Linked DNA regions of Arabidopsis thaliana. The protein of the gene in region 1 interacts with the protein of each later gene in a pairwise test. Each region holds a gene or a part of one and is shown in the gene's direction. Other genes may lie near its edges.

Evidence for each region. The genes of interacting proteins can lie anywhere in the genome.
Region 2: the proteins of PEP (region 1) and RR1 interact in a two-hybrid assay, tested with the Arabidopsis thaliana proteins (one large-scale study listed by BioGRID).

Annotation. Positions count from the first base shown.
Region 1 is NC_003075.7:13,194,908-13,200,901, forward strand, and holds PEP (RNA-binding KH domain-containing protein), read left to right. Parts: upstream 1-2,161; 5' UTR 2,162-2,372; coding exon 2,373-2,732; intron 2,733-2,966; coding exon 2,967-3,219; intron 3,220-3,378; coding exon 3,379-3,527; intron 3,528-3,609; coding exon 3,610-3,867; intron 3,868-4,025; coding exon 4,026-4,217; intron 4,218-4,356; coding exon 4,357-4,632; 3' UTR 4,633-4,934; downstream 4,935-5,994. Other genes in the region: AT4G26010 (Peroxidase superfamily protein), read left to right, coding at 5,662-5,946. UniProt on the Arabidopsis thaliana protein: Regulates vegetative and gynoecium development. In concert with HUA2, antagonizes FLK by positively regulating FLC probably at transcriptional and post-transcriptional levels, and thus acts as a negative regulator of flowering.
Region 2 is NC_003074.8:5,753,418-5,760,206, forward strand, and holds RR1 (response regulator 1), read left to right. Parts: upstream 1-2,403; 5' UTR 2,404-2,695; coding exon 2,696-2,882; intron 2,883-2,938; exon of another isoform or gene 2,939-3,297; intron 3,298-3,379; coding exon 3,380-3,532; intron 3,533-3,615; coding exon 3,616-4,056; intron 4,057-4,129; coding exon 4,130-4,206; intron 4,207-4,284; coding exon 4,285-5,430; coding exon of another isoform or gene 5,431-5,436; exon of another isoform or gene 5,437-5,653; coding exon 5,654-5,722; 3' UTR 5,723-6,026; downstream 6,027-6,789. Other genes in the region: COBL8 (COBRA-like protein 8 precursor), read right to left, coding at 6,226-6,789.

The DNA of each region.
Region 1 (5,994 bases):
TTATTGTAGAATAATACCAAATTGTGAAAAAAAAAACAAATATAAATTATTGACTATAGTTTGAAGTAAGTCGTAATTTTTTCCGCAAGGTAAATTCATTCAAAGTTAAAATGTGGAGAGTGAGAGAAAGAGAGTCGCGTGGCTATTGGGTAATGAGAAACGATTGGACCCATTTGGTATCATTCGGAAGTGATATGTGGCAGAGGGCAATCATACGTTTTCGTCATAGCGTTAGATTTTCTTACAGTTTCTTAGAGATTATTTCGATTGTTTGTGTCAAACGAGTTTAGTATGTTACTGCTATTGAACAGTAGTATTTTCTCATGTATCGATATGAATACGTTTACTCTTTTTCTTTTTTTCACACAATCAGATGAATATAGGGATGAATATACGTAGTTTTGTCTTTGTCATATACTAGATTATATTCCCACCAGTCATTTTCCTATGTATTTAACAAGACAAGACGTAGAAAAATGAGAATTTTAGTACTTGAGTTAACATATTTAAAGATTATATTCCCATCAGTCATTGAACATATGTGTACATATATATACGAGGAGAATCTATAACTTAGTAAGGAGGGAAATATGAGATTTTATTTCTATAGAGAAAAGAAAGGATAAAACCTCTCTCTGCCAACACTGGCCACCGTCTCCAAAGTCCATCCCAGTTAATTTTTATTTTTTGGAATCTTCTTATGTTATTACTCTTTCTTTTCTTATGACAACATGTCAACATGTGACCTGTCGTCTTCTACTTTCTTTTCTTCAGCTTTTCTCCTTTTAAGCAGAATATTCAATCTATCTTCAAATTCATATCTGAGTTTTGTACTATAAAAGAAAAGCAGACATTAAAAAAGATTTGAATATAAAACAAATGTATTGGAGTGGTAAAGCACATCTTCATCAAACATTTTTAAGGAGCATCAATCTAATTGGTCGATGGAAATGGAAGTAAAGGAATAGAAGATTGTTTGTGTTCCATGATGATGTATATATATGCCTAATTAATGTTACTGTTAGTTACCTTTGGATAACAAAGATATTTAAAGCGGTTTAATGCTTATTAACGGTTGATGGATGTTACCTTTTCTTTTTGACATCACGGTAGATGTTACCTTTCATAGGTGTTGAATAGACAGATTGGGGACGTTAATTAGTAATGATGTAATTAGTTAGAGCTAAATAGTGCTAATAAATATATGTAAGAAATTGTTCGGAAAGTAACTAAAAAAAGTTCAATTCATGCAAGTAGACACTTCAAATGTGATAAATGTATAAGTATGATGTTAAGCATGTGACCCTTGAGAGTCGATTAGGGCACTGTACAAGATTGACCCAAATAGTTACAAACTACAAGTGAACTCTCTTCCATTACATATCTACGTGTATTGAGGGGACCATTATCGTACGTATACACGTATATATGTTTTGCCCTAAATTCCCAATTTTAATTCAGCATGGGGGACGGACTCATTCAATAGCATCGTCTTTCACTTTCCTTCTTCGGTTTAAAATCTCATTTTAGTTTCTGATCCAAAAAAAAATGTTTGATCAAAGATCAAAAACTTAGATAGAAACAAACTGTTTTTTTTTCTTAAATCAAGAAAGTCTAAAAAACTAAGATACAAAAAGGGACTCGCAGCGGCAGAGAGATAAGTATCTTACGGGCCAGCAGATAATTTCTATGTTACGTCCCTTTCATCCCCATTGCATATTGCATATGAAGACAACGGATATTAACTAAAATCTTCCAAAATTACGGTATAATGAATAATAATACACTTCTGTCTCATATAGTATTCTATTATATTGTTCGAAAATGTTCTTATTTACATATCTATTTATATTGTTAATTGATTGCGGCTATTACTGTGGATATTCATCGTAACTATTTTAATCAATACAAATCATGCAAAATAGTGAATGACTTAGAAAAGTTGAAACCACATATGATTGAGTTTAGGGGGAAAAGTATAAAAGAAAGCATGACTAGTATGTTACTATGTAGTAAGCTTCAAACATATATTTAAGAAAATACTATATATAGATACATATGATATAACATAACATTAAAATATATGGTGAAACATTTTTTCTTAATATCCTAAGCTTCAAACATATACCCAAGTAGAGAAGAGTTGGAGTATTCATTCTTTGGTTAAACATAGACCTAATACATAGCTCATATGGACAATTTTTCGACAAAACAAAAATGATAGCAAATGGGCTAAAATGGTTTCATATCGAAAAGCCCAAACCATTAAGCCAAAACGACGTCGTACGATATGACAGCGGCGATTCCTATAACCACCACCAGAGGTTAAAAAGTCTCTCTCTTTAGCTATCTTTTTTGTGTTACCGGTTCAAATGGCCGCCGTCGCAGATTCCGTTGAGAACAACGGTTCCATAAACCTCCCTGAGAATGAAAACCTTATACCGGCGGGATTCAGTGCCGCCGCATTGCTTGACGAAAACTCTGGCGCTTTCCCTGAATTGAATCAGCCCGATAGCTTAGCTGCTGCTGAGACTACCTTCCCCGATACGAACGATTCCGCGGAGGAGAGGTGGCCAGGTTGGCCTGGTGATTGCGTGTTTCGTATGATCGTTCCGGTGACTAAAGTCGGAGCTATTATTGGACGCAAAGGTGACTTTATAAAGAAGATGTGTGAGGAGACTCGTGCTCGTATCAAAGTCCTTGATGGTCCTGTTAATACTCCCGATCGCATCGTTAGTATCTCTATCTCCTTCTACGTGATTTACTGTGTTCAAAGCTAATTCGAATTTGGGGATTTTTAATTTCTATTTCTAGGGTTTCTTAATCATAAGTAGGAAGATTCTTGAGTTGTGATCATTAAAGTTGTGAACTTTTATCCCCTAGTTGTGCAATTTGATTACTTTATGGTTCCAATTATAGTTTGAAGTGTTCACTAAGTTAATTACTTGCTCAATGTTATGTTTTAGGTGTTAATATCTGGTAAGGAAGAACCAGAGGCCTACATGTCACCGGCAATGGACGCAGTGTTGAGGGTGTTTAGACGTGTTTCAGGGTTGCCTGATAATGATGATGATGATGTTCAAAACGCTGGAAGTGTCTTCTCTTCAGTGCGTTTATTAGTTGCTTCAACGCAGGCGATTAATTTGATTGGAAAACAAGGATCTTTGATTAAGTCTATAGTAGAGAACTCTGGTGCATCAGTTCGTATTTTATCAGAAGGTATTATCTATCATCTGCAGTTTTCTGTTTTTACCTAATTGATCTCTTTGTTTGTGATTGTTAAAGTTTAGTTTTTGCTATTTCAATTCATGTCTGTTTTTTTTTCTAAAATTGGTGTCTTTGTTGCCAGTTTCTTATTTCTCTACTTTTTTCTGCCAGAGGAAACACCGTTTTATGCTGCACAGGATGAGAGGATAGTGGATTTGCAAGGGGAAGCTTTAAAGATTCTTAAAGCATTAGAAGCCATTGTTGGACACCTTAGGAGATTTTTAGTTGACCATACTGTTGTCCCTCTCTTCGAGAAGCAAGTAAGCTTGCTTGTTTCAATCGAGATTATTCCTTTCCCTTTTTTTTCTTTTCTGAATTATTGTTATCTTTTCTTATCTTCAGTATCTAGCTAGGGTCTCTCAAACTCGCCAGGAAGAACCGTTAGCTGAAAGCAAGTCATCTCTGCATACTATTTCGTCAAATCTAATGGAGCCTGATTTCTCCCTCTTAGCACGGAGGGAACCTTTGTTTCTGGAGCGCGATTCTCGGGTGGACTCACGTGTTCAGCCTTCGGGAGTTTCTATCTACAGTCAGGATCCTGTACTGTCTGCCAGACACTCCCCAGGTCTTGCTCGGGTTTCTTCTGCTTTTGTGACACAGGTAGATTCCCTTAAATACAACATCAGCTCCTGAAAACGAGTTTAGCGATATCATCTTACTTGTTATGATTAGTCTTCCAGCAGTGATTTTGATCTTAACACATCTAACTTGTTTCTCTGAACTAGTAGTGACGTTTCTATAATGGATTCTCTTACTAGGTATCTCAAACGATGCAAATACCATTCTCCTATGCAGAGGATATTATTGGTGTAGAAGGAGCTAATATAGCCTATATCCGTCGAAGAAGCGGAGCTACCATAACCATTAAAGAGAGTCCGCATCCTGATCAAATCACAGTGGAAATCAAAGGCACAACTTCTCAAGTACAAACTGCTGAGCAACTAATTCAAGTAAGAACACATTCGATCTGTATATATATATATATACTTTCTGCGACGTGGCATTGTATAAACACTAAGATTATGCTTGCTTTGCATCCTACCCCGCCTGCTTCATCATAACCGTATTCTTTTGTTTACGTGTGTGTAGGAGTTCATCATCAATCACAAGGAACCAGTTTCGGTATCAGGGGGATATGCCAGAATCGACTCTGGATATGTACCTGCATATCCTCCTCAGCTAAGTAACCGTCAAGAGCCGCTCCCGAGCACCTACATGGGCACAGAGCCGGTGCAGTACAGACCAACAGCATACTCTCAGCTGGGGGGTCCTTCTACCTACACACCGACCCTGACTGGGCAAACTTATGGTTCGGAATATAGACCAGCTTCTGATGTTGGTGGCTACAGCAGTTATAATCTTTGAATTGGTTGCTGTGTTTAAGTTTATTTGCAGATTAATTTCTCTTTAGAGAAAGGCTCATTTATAATATAATAGAGAGGGAAAAGGAACAAGTTCTAGAGAGCCAATGTAGTTGTTGGAATGTGTAATGTAAATCTAGGTGCCCTTTTTTTTTTTTTTTTTCATACCTCGATATATGTCACACTACGTTTCTGGTCAAATAAGAACATGTTTTTTCTTTCTTTTTTGTATGAATTTGTTTATCAGAAGTCAGAATGATTCAGTTTTAAGAAATTTTTAGTTAACGTTTTACAACAATAACCTGTAGGAGCTTTTTCTTAATTGAATAAGTTTAAGCTTTCTATTTTGATCTGATGATGCTAATATGAAAGCATTCTCCGAAGAACCAAACCACATGAGACTTTTTGATTTCAATGTCCATTCGTAACTAGTAACGGAAAAGATCAGACAGAAAAAATGTACCAATCATTCCATATTTGTAGTTTTACATGATATAGTAATATTCTCTAGGTGTTTAAGTTGTATATTTCATGATTTTTACACATTTTAAAACCTGATTAAGGCCTGTTTTTAACTTTTTATTTCTTCAAACCGTAAGAAACAATCCTTGCAAGAAACAATCCTTGCTTCTTCTTCTTTTTTTCGTCAAGAAACAATCCTTGCTATATTTTCATTTTTACAGCTTCTTGTTTTTAAGAGAGCAAATATAATAAATAAGGACGGCTGAAAAGAGGTATATGTATCACAAAATTAAACAAAAGAGAATCCACCTATCGACATAGACGTGGTATCCTTTCGATATCGACAGAATTATGTTGAACGCAGCAAGTTGGCCATTAATCAAATCTTTGACGCGTGGAATCATTCTATTGTCAATGAAAACAAATATTAAAGAACAGGTACTACCTATATACCTAATAGATTCCTCTAACCCGTCAAATGTCAATGTATCGACCGTTACAATTATGCACGTCTTCTAATTGAAACATTCTCTACTTTGCCAATGTCTTATCCCCAAAACTACATATAAATATGCATTTACGGGGGCTTAGAATTTCATCACAAAACTTGCAAGTATCATTCACAGGAGAGGGAAGGGAGAGCTCATCATACGAAATGAGGTCAATCACAGCTTTGTTTTTCCTTTTCTGTTTCCTTGCTCCTTCTGCTTTGGCGCAGCTCCGAACTGGGTTCTACAGCCGCTCATGCCCCCGTGCCGAATCTATCGTGGCTAGTGTTGTTGCCAACCGTTTCAGAAGTGACAAGTCCATTACTGCAGCATTTCTTCGTATGCAGTTTCATGATTGCTTTGTCAGGGTCCGTAAGCTTCTCCTGTGTGTACATGTGTATATATATTAACATAAG
Region 2 (6,789 bases), on another chromosome or scaffold:
TGAAACATTTGTGTTCTACAAAACCTTTTTTGGTGACATGGACCTATAGTTGGTACTTGAAATATAAATAAAATAGGAGGATCTGTAATTCATGTCTGTCTAAGCACAATAAAGTGAAAAATATAAATTAAAAACTCAAAAAGCTCATCGTAAGAGTAAAAACTTTTTACAGAGAATATACGGTTTCAGCGGGTTACTTTCTTGGGACCTTCTCTATATTATAGCTTTTGGCGCAGTTAAATTTATGTTATATTAATCATCAATTTTTTGTTTTTACGTTTTATATCGTATGTAAGGAAAAGTAAAGAAAGCTATTAGAAAAAAAAGCTACTAAACATGAAATTATGAGTATATCTTTCTTAAACTCAAATTCAAGCTCTCGTGGTAATAAGTGGCTATTGACGATAACAATTACAAGTTGGAATGTTGAATAGTTTCGTTTTTTTTATTTCTATTAATGTTTTTAAAATGATTGTTGAAATAGGGAAAATTTAACAAATGAAGACAACGATAGATGGAGAGGTCGATGCAAATGGTTCGAGTGATCTTATCCATTTCATGTGGACACGTGTCGCAATAGGGAAAGCTTCTCAGCAACGTGATTTATTTGTTTTTTTCTTATCATTAAATGTTTTCATTTTATTCTTCGAAATATACACATGTACAGTATTTCCAAAAGAAAATACACTATAGTTGATAGTTCATAAAAATTAAAGAAATACTTAATTGATTTAATATTCGTATTGTTGAGTTTTCCTTCTAAATACTACAAGTAGTGAATTTTACTTGATAACATTGATTAATGTAAGAAATTAGGTATCGATGCACATATGAAACAAGTCGTATGTCACACTTAAAACTATCGTTAATTTGAAAAAGATAAGACATGTCGGCGGTGCTAAACAACTATTTAAGCAAAGTATACACTGAACTTGGATAACTTAGATATAGTTTACATTGAAGTTGACAAATTTACACATTTATAAATAAGTTACTGGTTTGTATGTGTTTATAAATATGTCGTAGAGCAATCGAATAGTCAAATATGATTTGTTATCCTATACATTATTAAAAATATACTTTCGGGGGAATAGGGCGATTGGTGGGTAGCATATGATGTTACTAATCATTCAGATGAACCATTTGCATTATTTCTTTGTTTATTTAGTATCCAACGTTTTAAGAGAAGAAGCGCACATGTTTTTTTTTGCACCATATACTGACTACTGTTGTTGTAAACTTGTAATTATACATACATATATATATATATATATATATATATATATGTTTTCAACAATCAAACGTACAATTTTTTTCTATTTTCCATTTAATACAATTTATTTCCTAGAACTACAAGTTGTTTTTGATTAAAACATGAAAAGTATACTATATAAGTTATATTCTTACTAATCATAGTTACACACGACTTGAAATAAATACATACTAAAAAATTTGGAAGGTTATATGTTTAATTTGCACCAAAAAAGGCATCGAGTAATCTTATGTTATGTATACATCATATATCTGGTTTTTTTTTGTTGATAAAAGTATATGTACTATATCTTAGCTAAAGATGTAGGTGATGATGGGAAATGCTTAGGTGTATTTTGGTACCTTAATCATATGCTTGAATGTGCGTAGACGTATTATTTTGTTTAATTTAATGATATGATTATATTTTTATTTTGCCGTTTAATTTAATACATGTAGGTCCAATAGACAGGAGGCATTGTTTCTCAATTACATAAATTCAAAGGGTAGTTTAGTAAATAAATTATAGGCATATCAAAACTAAGAATTTTTTATATATATATGCAGCTGCTCTTTTGTTTAAGGCAAATTCCTATTCGAAATTGGTAGAAAATGGAAATTAAAACAAAAAATTAGGAAACTAACAACAATAATACTAATGAAAATCTATTAAGGTTTGAGTTTGCAAACTTTACATATGACGAGTTAATTAATTTTTTCATGCATGAGCTGGATCCACGAATCAAGGGTCTTTGGTCCCACTTTCTTCCCAATTATATAAATTTCCTTACCCTATATTTCTTTCATTGATGATTCAACCCCTATATTTCACTACTTCACAAAATAACCCAGAATTTGAGCTCAAAGCAACATCCAAAATGTTCTTCTAAATAGAAAAATAAAACAGAATATAGAACAATAGTACATATAATATACAAAACTAACTTGTAAGAAATTGAGAATAAAAAAGAGAGTGGATCTAAATGAAATTTAATAAAACCAATAGTCTAAATGTAGAGAGAATGATGAAAATAAAGGACATGTCAGCTTCTACATATATGTAAATAAAAAATATATATGACTGAGTATATAAAAACCACATTTTTTTTTTCTTCTGCATCTAAATGTTACAAAAATTGAATAGGAAAAATTAAGAGAGCTTTACTCTGTGAATAAATAAAAAAACAGAGAAAAAGAGCTCTAAGGTGAGACAAGCCTTGTCTTCTTCAACTCCCTAAGTCTCATCTCACCATCTCTCTCTTCTTCTTTTTTTTGGTTACCCAGAAGAGATTCACTTCTATCTCCAACAATTTCGTATTCTCTCATAATATTCAATTTTAAATCGAATAAAACTCGCGTCAATTTCCCCTCTTTCTTTCTGGGTATATATTCTTTTCTGCTTTTCTTTTTTTGTTTCTTGGGTTCGAGCTACATAGAGAGAGGTATGATGAATCCGAGTCACGGAAGAGGACTCGGATCGGCTGGTGGGTCCAGCTCCGGTAGAAATCAAGGAGGTGGTGGTGAGACCGTCGTCGAGATGTTTCCTTCTGGTCTTCGAGTTCTTGTCGTTGACGATGACCCAACTTGTCTCATGATCTTAGAGAGGATGCTTAGGACTTGTCTTTACGAAGGTTCGTATCCAAAAACCAAGATCTTCTCTTTTCATTTTTTTTTTTTTTTTTTTGTTCGTTTAATCTCACGAGAGAGAGAGAGAGAGAGAGAGAAAGAGAGTTCATGGTCTCTTGCTCCAATGATGGGTTTATTTGTGGTCCATTCTCGAAAATTATGTTATTTTGAGGAATAATTATGGTTTTCATATCGGTGGTTGACTAACTTTGCTCCCCCTTTAATAGAAACCATTTTGGTTACTTTTTAAGATTCACATATTAATCTCGAGCTTCTTCATTTAGATCACACCATTTTGATCTACTGATAGATTCACATGTAGATCCATTGTATATAATAAGTTAGGGGAGGTTTCAAATGGATTCAAATCTTGAGTCTTTGATCTTTGACTTGAGTTTTGGTTAAATGTCAATTCATGAGGTCCTTGTTGTCAGAATTCAAATCTCTGTTTTTTTCTTTTATCTTTGAAGATATGAAACATTTTGGTTGTTATGACATGCAGTAACGAAATGCAACAGAGCAGAGATGGCATTGTCTCTGCTCCGGAAGAACAAACATGGATTCGATATAGTAATCAGTGATGTTCATATGCCTGACATGGACGGTTTCAAGCTTCTTGAGCATGTTGGTCTAGAGATGGACTTACCTGTTATCAGTAACGTTCTTTTTACTCCCTCAAATCTCATCTAAGTTTGAATCTTTTTTTATAGATTATTGATCTTGTATTCGTTTAACTAGTGATGTCTGCGGATGATTCAAAGAGTGTGGTTCTAAAGGGAGTAACGCACGGTGCGGTTGATTACCTTATCAAGCCTGTACGTATGGAGGCACTTAAGAACATATGGCAGCATGTAGTTAGGAAGAGGAGAAGTGAATGGAGTGTACCGGAACATTCTGGGAGCATTGAGGAGACTGGCGAGAGACAGCAGCAGCAACATAGAGGAGGTGGTGGTGGTGCAGCTGTTTCTGGTGGAGAGGATGCGGTGGATGATAACTCATCCTCGGTTAACGAAGGTAACAATTGGAGGAGCAGTTCACGGAAGAGGAAAGACGAGGAAGGAGAAGAGCAAGGAGATGATAAGGACGAAGATGCGTCGAATTTGAAGAAACCGCGTGTCGTCTGGTCTGTTGAATTGCATCAGCAGTTTGTTGCTGCTGTTAATCAGCTCGGCGTTGAGAGTAAGACTAAAACTTCTTACATTTGCATTTGTGATTGTTATGCTCAGGGTCTAAATGATCTTCTATGGCGCAGAGGCGGTTCCTAAAAAGATCTTAGAGCTGATGAATGTTCCTGGTCTAACCCGAGAAAACGTAGCAAGTCACCTCCAGGTATAAATCTTATACTGGATACCAAAATGAGCCATTGAAATGCTTAGATGTTCTTAGCGGCTTTATGTGGACTTGCAGAAATACCGGATATATCTAAGACGGCTTGGAGGGGTATCGCAGCACCAAGGCAATCTTAACAACTCGTTTATGACGGGTCAGGATGCGAGCTTCGGACCTCTTTCGACATTGAATGGGTTTGATCTTCAAGCACTAGCCGTCACAGGTCAGTTACCTGCACAGAGTCTTGCACAGCTTCAAGCCGCTGGTTTAGGCCGGCCTGCGATGGTCTCTAAGTCAGGTTTGCCGGTTTCCTCCATTGTGGATGAGAGAAGCATCTTCAGCTTTGACAACACGAAAACAAGATTTGGAGAAGGGCTTGGGCATCACGGGCAACAACCCCAACAGCAACCACAGATGAACTTACTTCACGGTGTCCCCACGGGTTTACAACAGCAGCTTCCTATGGGTAATCGAATGAGTATTCAACAACAGATTGCTGCTGTTCGAGCTGGAAATAGTGTTCAAAACAACGGAATGCTGATGCCTCTAGCGGGTCAGCAGTCTTTGCCTCGGGGACCACCGCCTATGCTAACCTCTTCGCAATCATCCATCAGGCAGCCGATGTTATCAAACCGCATTTCCGAGAGAAGTGGTTTCTCTGGAAGGAACAATATCCCCGAGAGCAGCAGAGTGTTACCGACAAGTTACACTAATCTCACAACACAACACTCATCAAGCTCGATGCCTTATAACAACTTCCAACCAGAACTTCCCGTGAACAGTTTCCCGCTGGCAAGTGCACCAGGGATATCAGTACCGGTTCGGAAAGCCACTTCTTACCAGGAAGAGGTTAACAGCTCCGAAGCGGGTTTCACTACGCCGAGCTACGACATGTTCACCACCAGACAGAATGATTGGGATCTGAGGAATATTGGAATAGCCTTTGACTCACATCAGGACTCAGAATCCGCTGCGTTTTCCGCTTCAGAAGCCTACTCTTCTTCGTCCATGTCAAGACACAACACGACAGTTGCAGCCACCGAGCATGGCCGAAACCACCAGCAGCCACCATCGGGAATGGTACAGCACCATCAGGTTTATGCAGACGGAAACGGTGGTTCAGTGAGGGTGAAATCAGAGAGAGTGGCTACGGATACAGCAACAATGGCGTTTCACGAGCAGTATAGTAATCAAGAAGATCTTATGAGCGCACTTCTTAAGCAGGTTTGATTTGATTTTTTTTTTTTTGTCAAACTTATATAGAAGCATAATCTGATCCGTCAACGTACATGTTTGCGTTCAAAATCAAATATATAACAACTCTCAGACGCTTTCTCACCATTGGTCGCATGTCTTTTTCATAATAATGCAAATTACAACTAAATAACAAAAAAAATCAGTGAACCAAAAAAGTTGAAAAACACAATCTTGAATTATTGATATACAGGAAGGGATTGCACCGGTTGATGGCGAATTCGACTTTGACGCATACTCCATCGATAACATTCCGGTTTGATTGGATAAAAAAACCGATAAACCGGAGGGACTACCCGGATCTGTACTGTATCATTTTTACACGACGATCTACTAAAACTTGTTTGATATATATGTAGTCTGCATGAAATTTTAAATGGCAGATTATATAAGAAATAATTATTCATGTTAGGGGTTAATATCCTTGGAGATTCTTTTGTTCCTCATTTATGTAGTGAGGCTGTTTAGGGTTTTGTAAGTATGTATTTCGAGTAAATGCTTAGAATAATTCGAACAAACTTAATTTAGTACAACGCCACAACGTGAAATCAAAGCAATTCAAGATCAAAACACAAAGGGATTTGTCTGTTCAATATTTGTATGTATACATACTGATTACTAAAATCTGATCATACGAAATTCAAGAATCACACGGTGCACAAAGCACCACTAGTAGTAGAAGTAATTCTGCATCAAATCTGGTTAGAAAGAATCAAGAAAACTGTATATTTTCTGGCTAATGAGGAAAGTCCTTCACTGGAACTTTTAAATCCGAAGAAACAGTAGAGCCAAAAATGGTGTCAGGATGAGAAGAAAGGTGGATACATGTTTCCTGTGACTGTTGCTCGTGGGTAGTACAGAAGGGAGTGAACATTCCTGGCCGTTGAAGAGTACTTTGGTGGGAAACCCATCTTTGGAACCAACTTTGATTCCAGGAGTCAGTTTCTTGGTGAAGGAGATAACCGACTGCTGTTTCCCGGGTATCCGAAAGTCTTCACTCGGGTTTTTTCCGTCTTTCTCTGCAAGGAGATAGTTCAGTCCAGGGAGCCCTTCCATTAAAACAGTTGTGTTCTTCCCGTTGACCGCGATGATACTTCCGTTAAACGAGTACGCTTTCTGAAAACCGGGTGCAGCATTTCTCAGTTCAACCGCGGTAAACCAATCCACGAAATCAGTATCACCCCAGTTGAAGAGTGTGACTCGAGCAGTCCATCCGCCTCGATAGTCTGTAGCTAGGTGCCAGTTTATGCTGACTCCACAGTTATCTCCACAAGGTAATGGGTCCGGGACTTTCCGGTTTTTTAACACTGCCCAAGCGTTGGTAAGTTT